3 linked regions of the Macaca mulatta genome follow. The protein of the gene in region 3 purifies or fractionates together with the protein of the main gene of each other region. This does not show direct contact. Links are inferred from orthologs where the notes say so. Each region holds a gene or a part of one and is shown on either strand. Other genes may lie near its edges.

Evidence for each region. The genes of interacting proteins can lie anywhere in the genome.
Region 1: the proteins of ZMYND8 (region 3) and MTA1 purify together in Homo sapiens (affinity purification with mass spectrometry; 3 studies listed by BioGRID and IntAct, with this or other methods). This does not show direct contact. The link is inferred for Macaca mulatta from reciprocal best matches to the Homo sapiens genes ZMYND8 and MTA1.
Region 2: the proteins of ZMYND8 (region 3) and MTA2 purify together in Homo sapiens (affinity purification with mass spectrometry; 3 studies listed by BioGRID and IntAct, with this or other methods). This does not show direct contact. The link is inferred for Macaca mulatta from reciprocal best matches to the Homo sapiens genes ZMYND8 and MTA2.

Annotation. Positions count from the first base shown.
Region 1 is NC_133412.1:178,846,826-178,850,755, reverse strand, and holds the start of MTA1 (metastasis-associated protein MTA1), read right to left. Parts: upstream 2,801-3,930; 5' UTR 2,263-2,800; coding exon 1,761-2,262; intron 1,614-1,760; exon of another isoform or gene 1,372-1,613; intron 1,347-1,371; exon of another isoform or gene 1,144-1,346; coding exon of another isoform or gene 1,116-1,143; intron 1-1,115. UniProt on the Homo sapiens protein: Transcriptional coregulator which can act as both a transcriptional corepressor and coactivator. Acts as a component of the histone deacetylase NuRD complex which participates in the remodeling of chromatin.
Region 2 is NC_133419.1:11,464,495-11,468,490, forward strand, and holds the start of MTA2 (metastasis-associated protein MTA2), read left to right. Parts: upstream 1-1,196; 5' UTR 1,197-1,474; coding exon 1,475-1,502; intron 1,503-1,620; exon of another isoform or gene 1,621-1,903; intron 1,904-2,238; coding exon 2,239-2,306; intron 2,307-2,674; coding exon 2,675-2,768; intron 2,769-3,996. Other genes in the region: EML3 (echinoderm microtubule-associated protein-like 3), read left to right, coding at 47-177, 258-461. UniProt on the Homo sapiens protein: May function as a transcriptional coregulator. Acts as a component of the histone deacetylase NuRD complex which participates in the remodeling of chromatin.
Region 3 is NC_133415.1:100,040,516-100,044,335, forward strand, and holds part of ZMYND8 (MYND-type zinc finger-containing chromatin reader ZMYND8), read right to left. Parts: intron 3,506-3,820; coding exon 3,125-3,505; intron 816-3,124; coding exon 625-815; intron 1-624. UniProt on the Homo sapiens protein: Chromatin reader that recognizes dual histone modifications such as histone H3.1 dimethylated at 'Lys-36' and histone H4 acetylated at 'Lys-16' (H3.1K36me2-H4K16ac) and histone H3 methylated at 'Lys-4' and histone H4 acetylated at 'Lys-14' (H3K4me1-H3K14ac).

The sequences.
Region 1 (3,930 bases), on a different chromosome or scaffold from region 3:
AGAGCTGCTGATGCAGACTGACCGCCCATCTCACAGACGGGGTGTAGGGGGCTCCCACAGTCCCCAAGGTCACAGGGCTGGCCGGCGAGACCACACGGCGTCCAAGGCAGCAGAGGCCACGCTCGAGGGACACGGCGTGTTCTGGGCACTCGGGGTCACGGGCATGGGGATCAGGTCAGAGCGAGAGAGACCCCAGCTCCCTCCTGCAGCGCAGGCTGCAGGTGGGAGAGGCAATGGGCACCTGCCGAGAGGGTCACAGGCAGGGAGGGGTCTCAAGAGTCCCGGGGAGGGAGGCACTGATGGAATGATGGAATGCGCACGACCCCCCATCTCCCTGTGAAAGACCCCACGGAGTCCCAGGCACTCGAAGGAGGGCAAGGCCCAAAGCTGCAGGCCCGCGGGGCCCGAGCAACAGGAGGCTTGACCCAGAGAGGAAGCCCCGGGCCCCTGCCCAGGGGACCCTCCGGCCTCTCCCCAACCCTAGCAAAGCGCCTCCCGAATGGGCTGAGGTGAGCGGGAGGCAGGGAAAAGTTTGGGGGGACTTAGAGGCGTGCTCGGGATACTCGCTCCCTGCTGAAGACCCCCTGAGAGAGCCCTGCGGGGGGAAGCCCCGGGGCCAGGCTGCAGGAGGGCTCTAGGGAGGAACGCGGCCCCTCACCGGGGCTCCCCATCCGCAGAGGGGACGCACCGGAGTCCTAGCACAGGGCCGCGGGCCGGGGGAGACCCCACAGCCCCAAAACTCCTGCTCCCAGACCGGCAGCCGGCGCCTCCCAAGGCCACGTGCTCCCGCGGGGGGCTCCCGGCCCCGGCCCCCCGGATGTCCCCGGCCGCCCGCGCCCCCCCGCCACCCCCGCGGCCGCCCCCTCGGCCCCAACAGGTGGGCCGCCCCCCACCCCCGGGCCGCCGCGCCCCGCCCGCCCCCGATGGGGCCGACCCGCGGGGCCATTTTGGGTTGGGGTGAGCACTGCGGGGGGAGGTTCGGGAAGGAGCCGGGGGCCGCGAGGGCGGACGGGGGGCGCGGGGCCTGCGGGGCGGAGGGGCGGGGGAGGCGGCAGCGGCGGTGGGTGGGGGCTGCGGGCGGGTCGGGGCCGGGCATAAAGGCGGTGCGGCCTTACCTCCGACCCTGTACATGTTGGCGGCCATGTCCGGGCCGGCGGCGGCGGAGGGGCCCGGGGCGGGCGCGGCGCTCGGCGCGGGCGGCCGGGAAAATGGAGGCGCGATGGCGGGGGCGGGGGGCGCCGCAGGCGTTTAAAGGGGCCGCGCTGCTGCCGCCGCCGCCGCCGCCGCCGCCGCCGAGGCCGCCGAGGCCGCGCAGGGACGGGAGGGCCGCGGCGCGGGCGGGAGAGGAAGAGGAGGAGCGGCCGCGGGCGGCGGGGAGGGGCCTCGGGCGCCGCCGCCCACCGCGCGGGCCGTTACCGACCCCGCGCCGCCCGCGGCCCGCGCGCCCCTTCCCGGACAGTTCCTCCCGGCGCCCCCGAGTCCTCCCCGCGCGCCGCTTCCCGGGTGGGCCCTTCCACCAGACCCCCCTGGTAGATCCTCCCCTAGTGCCCTGGGGGTAGAGGGGGATCCTCCACAAGGGTCCTTTCCCTGGTGATTCTTCCTGTGCCCCACAGGTGAGTCCTGCCATAACTCTCCAGGGGGTTCCTCCTGATGCTGGGGTCCTCCGGCATTCCCCCCTGACCCCCAACAAGGGCCCTGAAGCTCAGCGGCCCAGCCCTGGCCTCGGGGTCCCCACCCCACACCTCCCTTCCAGGCCTAACCTTTGCCCCCGACACCAGGCAGCGTGTGTCCTTGGCCTTCGCCGCCCAGCCCGCATGGCATCTCTGGACCGGTGACCGTGCGCGCCTTGGTGTGGGCAGGCTCTGTAGGCGGCAAAGCCTCCCTGAACTGTGACCTGGTGAGAAGGCCACAGAGGAGGTGCCTGTGCCCAAAGGCCACCTCCGAAGACCCCACTTGAGGCTGGAACCCAGCGCCTGCTGACCTCCCCAGCCCTAACAGGGCTGGAGTCCGGGAGCGGCCGTGCCCTTTCCACAGTGAGGCAGCTGCCCTCCCTCCCCACCACCTGTCAGGATGCCCTCCTGTGTGTGTGTGTGTGTGTGTGTGTGTGTGTGTGTGTGTGTGTGTGCGTGCGTGCACAGGTCTAACGAGAGGAGAGTCCAGTGACCCAGACGCCCCAGCCAGGAAGAGCATGAGGTGGGAAGGGGGCTTCCCAGATGGAGAAAAACAGATGGTCCCACAGTGGCTTGGAGACAGGTGCAACATCAGTGTTGGGGGAGGTGAGGAAAAGGAGCTGTCTTGGGGCTCCAGGCTGCTGGTTTGAGCAGCACCATGGGTCTCGGCCCTGCCTGCTCAGATGCTGGAGGTCAGTGACTGGAGGGAGCTGACATCTACCTGGGACATCCCTCCCTGTAGGACATGGAGCGGAGTGTTCAGGGCTATCAGGAGGGAGCCCTGTGCCCACGGTTCAAGATCTAGGCAGGTGGGACAGATGTGGTCAGGGTGCTGGGGACAGAGCATAGGGAATCCGGCACACAGGACACCAGCCAGGTGGGCAGAAAACAGCATGTGCTGGGAGAAAGCCAGGTGGGGGTCCCGAGGAGAGCAGTGGCCACAATGTCTTGGCTGCAGAGCAGACTAGAAAGGAAAACCCTGCCAGGGTTAGCACAGGGCCAGGAACCGAAGCTGCAAGGCAGTGCTGTCTCTGGGGAGAGAGGGCTGTGGGTCCCAGGACACATCCTACGGGCCGCAGGGAACAGGAGCTGGCTTGCTGGTGATTGGGTGGGAAGAGCAGACAGCCAGGGGCCAGGTGCAGGAGAGGGGCAATGACAGACAGGCAGTGTCTCCCTAGAAAGAAGGTGGGGCTGCTGCCTCCCCTGTCCTACAGCCCCGGCCTACCTCTGTCTCCTCAGCGGGAAAGCAACGCTGCGGCCTGAGATCTCCTTCCACCAACTCCTGGCATGGTCAGAAAGTTAGCCAGAAACAACAGAAAGTGCCAGGCAGCTAGGAGGCATGGGGAGAGCCCCCGAAGCTGTGTGTGTAGTGCCTGCTTCCGCTGCCATCCCAGAAACGGAGGCGCTTCACCCTGAAAACCCGGCCACGCCACCAGGACACATCCTGACAGTGACATGCACACTCTCCCCTGGCCTTGGCCTGGAGGGGAGACTCCTGCAGACACCAGCCTTTGCTCCTTCTCCTGTTGGGGGTGGAGAGAACTGACTGCTGGAGGGGAGACAGTCAAAGCTGTCCTTAGGAGGGAGTACGGCGCAGGGTCTGGTGTCCCAGGGAGACAATCTGAACTTCAAGCCAGGACACCGCAGCGGAGAGGACACACCCCTTACCATGCAGAGTGACGTTTAGTAAACTCTCAAAAGACAGCACAGAGCCCTGTTCCTCCAGCCGACCCCTACTCTGCCTCCCCACTCCAGACCAGTGAAAAAGGTGGATTGCCCTTAAGCCAGCTCAGAGGCAAAGTCCAAAGACCTCAGGTAAGTCAAACAATAAAAACAAAGAATTAAGAAGAATCCGGTCGGGTGCGGTGGCTCACGCCTGTAATCCCAGCACTTTGGGAGGCCGAGGCGGGAGGATCACGAGGTCAGGAGATCAACATCATCCTGGCTAACACGGTGAAACCCCGTCTCTACTAAAAAATAGAAAAAATTAGCCAGGCATGGTGGCGGGCACCTGTAGTACCGGCTACTCGGGAGGCTGAGGCAGGAGAATGGAGTGAACCCGGGAGGTGGAGCTTGCAGTGAGCCGAGTTTGTGCCACTGCACTCCAGCCTGGGCGACAGAGTGAGACTCCGTCTCCAAAAGAAAAAAAAAAAAAGGAGCGAATAGGCATTCAGGAAAGAGCTTTCGCGTCAGGACAGAAGTGACAGAAGTAGTGGCATATCCCCAGAGGCTGAGGTGGGAACATTGCTGAGGTGGCACA
Region 2 (3,996 bases), on a different chromosome or scaffold from region 3:
GGTGGCGGTGGGTAGGAGGTCGGGCTGAGGCCGGCCACTGTGCTAGGCGTGTGGCCGGACGGCTCCGATGGGACCGACATCAACTCCCTGTGCCGCTCCCACAACGAGCGCGTGGTGGCGGTGGCCGACGACTTCTGCAAAGTGCATCTATTCCAGTACCCGTGCGCTCGTGCCAAGGTGAGGCCGCGGGGGCCGCCGGGGTGGGACGGGTGGGCCCGAGGGCTCCGCCGCCACTGCAAGTCTTCCCTCCCGCCCAGGCGCCGAGCCGCATGTACGGGGGCCACGGCAGCCACGTGACCAGCGTCCGGTTCACGCACGACGACTCGCACCTTGTCTCGCTGGGCGGCAAGGACGCCAGCATCTTCCAGTGGCGAGTGCTGGGCGCTGGGGGCGCGGGGCCGGCGCCTGCCACGCCCTCTCGAACCCCCTCCCTGTCCCCCGCCTCCTCCCTCGACGTTTGATCGCTGCCGGCGGGACCTACTGGCCTGGCGGCGTGGCCCCGCCCCGCTCTGCCCCGCCCTAATCCCCCACGACCAGGGGCCGACTCTTTCCTCGACTGACTTCGAAACATTCCCGACGGTGCATTTCCCTGGAGGGCGCGAGCGGCGCCCCTGCACACACTGTTTAGACCCGCTGGTTGAGCCGGGCAGCCCCAACCTAGGCCTTGACTCCCGCTGCCTGCTGAGGGGCAATAAACCAGAACCAAAGTCGCCTCCCGGTGCTTTTGTGGGGCGCTGCTGGGTGCCTCCGGGGCCCTGTGGGGTGGGGACGAAGGAAAAGAGGCGTGCGGAAAGGGCAAGGGAGCGTAGACCATTTATGCAAATAACAGGCAAAGCCGCTTGCAAATAACCTGGCGAAGCGCTAAGGCGCGCGAGTCTTCGGGGCGGGAGGAGGAGTTGCAGGGCTCCAGCTAGGACAGAGTTAAGCCCCACTCCTCTCCCGCCCTCGGAAAAAGGGGTGGGGGGGGTGCCGAGCTGCAACGGAAATAGCCGAGCGATTGGCCGACAGGAGCCGAACTTCTTCCGGAAGTAGCCGATCTGCGGGGTCTCGCTCTCCGACCTGAGCCGAGCAGTGGGCCTTGTTCTCCGGATCGGCCGAAGGTGTTACGGAAGGAGGCGAACCCTGAGGCGGGCCGGGCAAGCCTTCCCTGCGGCCGGCAGAGCTCAACGACTAGTGGGACTCGGCGGGGGTGGGGGCAGCTGCAGCCTGGCAGGAGCCGAGCTCGTTCCGGAAGAAGCCGAGCGGACCGGGGCCAGCCTCAGCGTCCCGGGAGTGAGGCGATAGCTGCGGCGGCGACAGCGCGGGCCGGGATGAACCGCGACGGCTGAGGCAGCGGAGGTGACGGCTGCGCGGGCCCCAGTGAGACTCCCTCGAAGCGCCAGCCCACCGTTCAGGGCTTTGCCTCTAGCCGAGCCCTGCCCCCGCGAGCCTCCCGGACCCCTTTGTGCGGCCGGAGGCGGCGGCGGGAACGGCCATGGCGGCCAACATGTACCGGGTGGGAGGTGAGTACCGGGCGCAGGGGTACAGGGTCCGGGGCGGGAGAGGTTGTGGTCGGGACCGGAGGGGCTCGGCACCGGGTGGCGCGAGGCGCAGCGTATGGGGCGGCATGGACCGGAGCGCGGACCGGAACCGGAACCGGGAGACGAGGAGCTAGGGTGCGGGAAACCGCGACGCGGCAGGGCGCCGAGACTCCTGGAGAGAAGCTGCGGGCAGCCCCGACGGCACTTTCAGGGCTGCGTCGGGGGCTCCTCGGGGCACGGAGTGGGCTTCGGAAACCGGTTCCGAAGGAGCTGACAGGGTGGGGAGGGAACGCGAGGGGCTGGGGCGACGGCTTTGCCACCGCGGAGGAGCCGCCCGGAGGTTTCCTCTTCCCAGGCGTTATTGTGCGCCTCAGTTCGAAAAGGTGGGGGCCCTGCGCTAGAGCGAACAATTACTTCGCCGCGACTGAGGTGCAACTCGTTGCTGAGTTGTGGGGACTGCAGGGGAATCCCTGCTTCTTGCCTGTTCCTTAAGGCTCACTTTTGAGTAATGGATCTGATTTTAGAACTAGGTGCGGTGGGGGTGGGGGACATCCTTATTTTCTCTTAGTCTTTACACTTTCACATCTCAGCGCGCTCTCTGCCTGAATCCTTATCTTCTTTTGATCCACTCAGGCCAACTTTCTCTCCTACTCTGGTGCTCTGCGTCTCTCCCATCTCCTCTGATCTTCGTGGTTCTCCCCCCTCCCTTCCCTTACAGATTACGTCTATTTTGAGAACTCCTCCAGCAATCCTTACCTGGTTAGACGGATTGAGGAACTCAACAAGGTGAGTGGAGCAGAATCTCTCTCCCTCCCTCCCCCAGTGGTCTCTTCTGAGGTTTCTAACTTCGGGTGGAAGAGAGGACCCTATACTAAGTACCCATTCATATTCATTCATTCATTCATTGGATGTATTCAGGAAAGGCTATTGAGAGCTTAGCAGGAACTTTACTATTCTGTCTCTTGGGGGCAAAGGAAAGGGATTTGGAAGTCTGTCCTTGAATGTAAGTGTTTACTCATATTTTCTTGGGCTTTTTAATTTAGGTCCCTCTGAAACTTACTGTTATTTGTCTCTTTGTGTATTTCTGTTCCCAGATGATCAATTTTCACTGCTACGTTGTTTTGTTTCTGTTTTTGTTTTTTTCCTCCCCTTAGACTGCAAATGGAAATGTGGAGGCAAAGGTCGTCTGTCTTTTCCGGCGCAGGGACATTTCTAGTAGCCTCAACAGCTTGGCTGATAGTAATGCCAGTGAGTATCTTCATCCCTTTCTTTTCCCCCTCCCCATGATCTGAGGCCTGCGCATGTCCCTGCAGGTATTTCCCCTGGTAGCATGCCCAAGGCAGAGGTGTGAGTTTGAGGGTGGGAAATGCCTGGCCTGAGGAGGGAGACCTGTTTTTACACGTTGGGGTTGGAAGCAGGGTGGAGAGATTGTGATATGGTTTGTGTATGAGAGTAGGAGAGAGACGATAAGGTTGATTTAGGGGATGAAGACGGGGTTTAGAGAAACAGAATGCTTTTCTAAAGGGGGGCAGTTTGGGGTACACTGGGACAGTAGGTGGTGACTGAAGGTCAAGGTGAAGAGGAAGAGATTGTACTGAGAAGCCCGCATAACAGAAGCAGCCTTATTTTGTAATCACAAGGTGGTGAGAATACCTGGAAGTTAGAAGATGGCTGGAAGTTTTCTTGCACTTTTTAATTTCTCACCTTGCCCATTTCCCCACCTGCCACCCCCCATTTTACATCTTTCCCTTTTCATTTTGCTCTATTTTCATCCTCTTTAAGGTCTCATTTTCTTTTTTTAAAAAAAAATATTTTCCTTAGCTGCTTTTTCCTTTCCTGCTTTGGTTTTCTTTTTCCTTCCTTTTGTTCCACCTTTCTAAATCATTTTCCTTTTTCAGACTGCTCTGGGTGAGAAGGGGTTAAAGAGGAGCCTGGCTAACCAAGTTCCCTGGCCCTTTAGGGTTTCCAGCCCCATCTGGCAGGGGCTGACCTTGGCCTTGTCCAATCAGAAGGGGTGTTGGGGGTGTGGTCCCCCTTGCCTTAGCACAGGGTTTCCGGAGCACACAAGCGAGGGGTGGAGCCTACTGAACAACCCCCCCTTCTCCCTGAGGTTGGGAACAATGCACCAATGAGCCTGGGCCTGAGGCTTTTCTGCCCCCTCCCACTTTGGTTGGCGCCTAGCCAGATTAACCCCTTCCACTAGGTTTCAGGGCAAGCTGCAGCTCTTTCAGGAGGAAGATGTTGGCACTAGCTTGAGAGGTGTTGTCCTTGAAAACCCTAGGAACTATTATTAGCCAAGTAGAGAATGAGGGATAGTTAGGGCTGCATGTGATGTTTTAGTGCAAAGAGTCTCCTGAAATTGAAAAGAACTGGTAAACACAGTCTTGTGTGATTTTTTTTTTCATCTTACTGGGTTGCTGGACCTCAGGCTGGTTTAGCAAGAGACAAATGTAATGTTCTTGCTGGCCTGTTGTGG
Region 3 (3,820 bases):
AAAAAGCACTTGGCAAATTAAGAGAAAAAAAGAAGGGGCCTGTGCTGAGACAGTGACCATGAGTTTGCCCACAACAGGCAATCCTGCCCACCAGGCCACTTAATAGGGACTGTGCCCCAGAGGGCAGGAGAAGAGGGAGAGGGGGTCCCCTCGGTCCCCCTCCTCATCCATCTTGATTCCTGGAAAAATTAAAGTGTGGGCTTTCACCTTGCCAGTGTCATGTTTAAGACTCTGTCACTTCTGCTCCACATGCAAAGCTCTAAATGCAAACCCAACCCCTGGTCAGTTGTTCACTGAAGGATCAGTCATGTGTTCCAGTGCCTTTATAAGTGACTTGAATTCTCGAAGGTAATTCTGATTATATGTCATTTGCACTTCATAAACTGACTTTAGAATCTAAGCCCACTTGGATTAAGATTCAGTCCATTCCAATGTTTCTCTGTTAGACCCAAATGAAAGAATGTGGTCTTGGAGATTCTGTTTAAAAAATAAAAAGGGTCTTCCTTCCTAAACACTCCCTAAAGCCTACGAGGTTAAGACGCTCATGCTTCCCCTTGCAAGGCCAAGGTTCTGGCAACCTGCCAGATGCCTGCCGTCTCTGCGGCAGCTCTCCCATCCACTCACTTTGCTAGTGTACTTGGCAATATCAGCGGCGACATCGGCTGAGGCGGTGGCGATGGGCAGGTCAGCGTTCACTGAGGACACAAGGGTGCTCGTGGACCCCGAGCTGGTGACCAGGGGCGATGACTGTGTGCTGGTCACCAGGGTGATGGTGGCCGTGGACGGGCTCTGTGTGATCTCCTTCTGCTGGACAGCTAGGAAGGCAAAGCATCCTGATTATCCCACGTGGGAAGGACCCGTCCCAGCATAGAGCTGTGGTGTAGAAGCAAAGCCCCTAATATACGTCCTGAGAACTTTTCTACTTTTAAATGACAAAGATGCTCCCCTTGACCAAACTCTATCCAGGTTTCTCGACTAGGCCCTAACCTTGGCCTGGAAAGACTTGAGCAAACACTGACAGTTTCTAAGAGCTCAAGAGTGCATGCTAGGATGACCCCAACCCCCACTTAAAGCACCTGCCTGGGAAAACTCAATGCTGGCAAAAGAACTGACAGTTTTCTTCCAACCAACACCTGAAGACAGGACTTCAGCATCCCAGTCTCTATGGGAGAGTAGGGGCCCAACTTCATGAAGTGCCCGTTAGCAAATCGAGATGGGTTTCACAAAGACCAACCCCTCATCTTGCTTCTGTGATGTTTAACTTCAACGACTTGCTCCCATCCCTACTCCCTCATTCTCCCTTTAAAATGCCCAGTCACCTCTGTACAAATCAAAGTTAATTTCAGTTTATGTTAGACTCTTGCCCCATTACAGTAGTGTATTACCGATTTAAATCTGTCTTTACCCTTTTAACTAGGCCCTACTTTGGTGTAAGACTATCTGAAGCAATGAGCCTCTTTTTGGCAGCACTCTTTTTTGGTTTTTTTTGTCTGTTTGTTTCTCTGGTTTTTTTTTTTTTTTTTTTTGAGACAGTCTCACTCTGTTGCCCAGACTGGAATGCAATGGCGCAATCTTAGCTCACCGCGACCTCCACCTCCAAGATTCAAGGGATTCTCACACCTCAGCCTCCTGAGTAGCTGGAGTTACAGGCATGTGCCCAGCTAGTTTTATGTTTTCTTTTCCATTTTAGTAGAGATGGGGTTTCACCATGTTGGCCGGGCTGGTCTTGAACTCCTGGCCTCAAGTGATCTGCCTGTCTTGGCCTCCCAAAGTGCTGGGATTAGAGACATGAGCCACCGCGCCCAACCCTCTTCTTGGTAGCAATTAAACTCCCCTGGGGAAGCCTCCTGCTTACGAGATATGAAGACAGAAGACAGGAAGCAGCAATCCCAATCTCAAATATCCTAGACTTGGCTTTGCCCCACCAACTTTTTAAACAGCAAGATTACTCCAACTGTACTCTCAATTTTGCCTGGCCAATTTTTCAGGACCCACTCCCTTGCCATCTTTGAAGTGTTTCACTGGGGGCCAATTCAAGACCTGGCCACCTTTCAACCTCACGTCCTGCTGCTCACGAACCCCACTCACAGGGGCGCACTCACTATGAGCTTCCGTTGAAGAACCCAGCCTTTGAGGATCTAGATGCAGGTTTCCTGATAGAAAGAGATCTACATCAATGCTCACAAAAGCCAGACAAACTGGTATCAACCAGTCAGATCAGCACTGTGTTTGGCCTAATTTCAGCTCCAGATGGAGCCTCCTGTAGGGCTGGTGGGAGTTCTGATTCTGCAACTTCAGCAAGTGGTTCTCGAGGCTGGCTCATCTTTTGTGCGTGACGAATTTCCAGTTACTAAGGTAACCTTCGCTATCAACTTCTCGCACTGTACTTTTTCCAAAATAATTCCAAGAGGTTCCCTCATGTGTACAAGGAAATTTATACAAAGATATTCACTGCAGCACTGCTCACAGTGGAAAAAAAACTGAAAGCAACCTAAATACCCATCAGGAGGGGAATGCTTTAAATAAACTATGGAATACTACGCAGCAGTCCGAAAGAACAAGGCAGGGCTGTATGTGCTGACATGGATGGACCTCCAAAACATGCTAATGGGTGGGGGAAAAAAAAAAAGCAAGTATGGTACCATTTTTACGTTTTAAAAAAGAAAAAAAAGGGGGGGAAAAGGACTAATTTTATGGCATCATATACATGACGCGCACATATATACATACAGATATGTATATATACATATACATGCATACATGCATAGAAAAGCCTTTACAACGGTTGATACTGGTCACTGTGGAAGGGAGAGAATGAAATGGAAGGTAAACGGGACAATAAACTTTTATGTAAAACTTTCTGCCCCCCTTTTAAGGAGAATATATGCATGTATAATTTATAAAATGAACAAAAAAACTTTTCGAAAGTAAAAAAGCAAGTAGCAAAACACTTTTTAAAAATAATGCCAAATGAAATGTGCAAGGCCTTCAAGATACAATGGCCAGGAAACAAACGAGAACTAAAAAAAAAAAAAAAAAAAAAACAAGAGAGCAATGACTTTCTCCTGTCGATGTGGCAAAATGGGAGCGGGCGCCACGGAGAACAGAAGGGGAGGCTCGGTACCTTTCACAGCCTGTCTGGTCTGATATCTCGTCCCCTGGGAAGACTGAGGCTGCTGCTGCTGGTTTTGCTGCTGCTGCTGCTGCTGCTGACGCTGCATCTTCTGCATGTGCCACTTTTGGGAGGACGTTTGAAACTTACTTGATGAGTTCCACACGACCCGCTGCACGGCCGGGGCAGTCTCCTTCGGTAAAAGCGGCCTCTGCTTTTTCACCGGGCTTCCTGTGGTGGCGGGGGCCGGGGCCGTGACGGTGACCGTGGAGGACGTGCTGGTGGTAGCTGTGGCGCCAGCCGCGGGAGTTTGGGCGGAAGAGCGGGTGAGCACCGGCGTTTCCGGGGGAGACTGGCTGCCCGCCGTCGTGGATGGTGGAGCTTTACCTACAACTAGCCAATGCATGAAGAAAAAACAAACAAAAACCGCGATTTCACTCAGGTTCGCCTGCAGGGTCTTGACGCCAGCAAGTTCTGGGTAAAACCTACGAAAGCCAGGAAAGCCGAACCAATTCGACGTGCCACGCACACCGCGCTGGAGGAGTACAGTCTCACCTAACGCTGAGGCCACTTCTGCTGCGTCTTCCATCTCCACGAGCACCGGCCTCCTTTACTGAGCGCCGGCTCACATCTGAGATACAAGTCAACACCTCTGGGGGCCAATGAGGCAAACAAGACCCGGCTCCTATGCTCAAGCTCCCCTACACC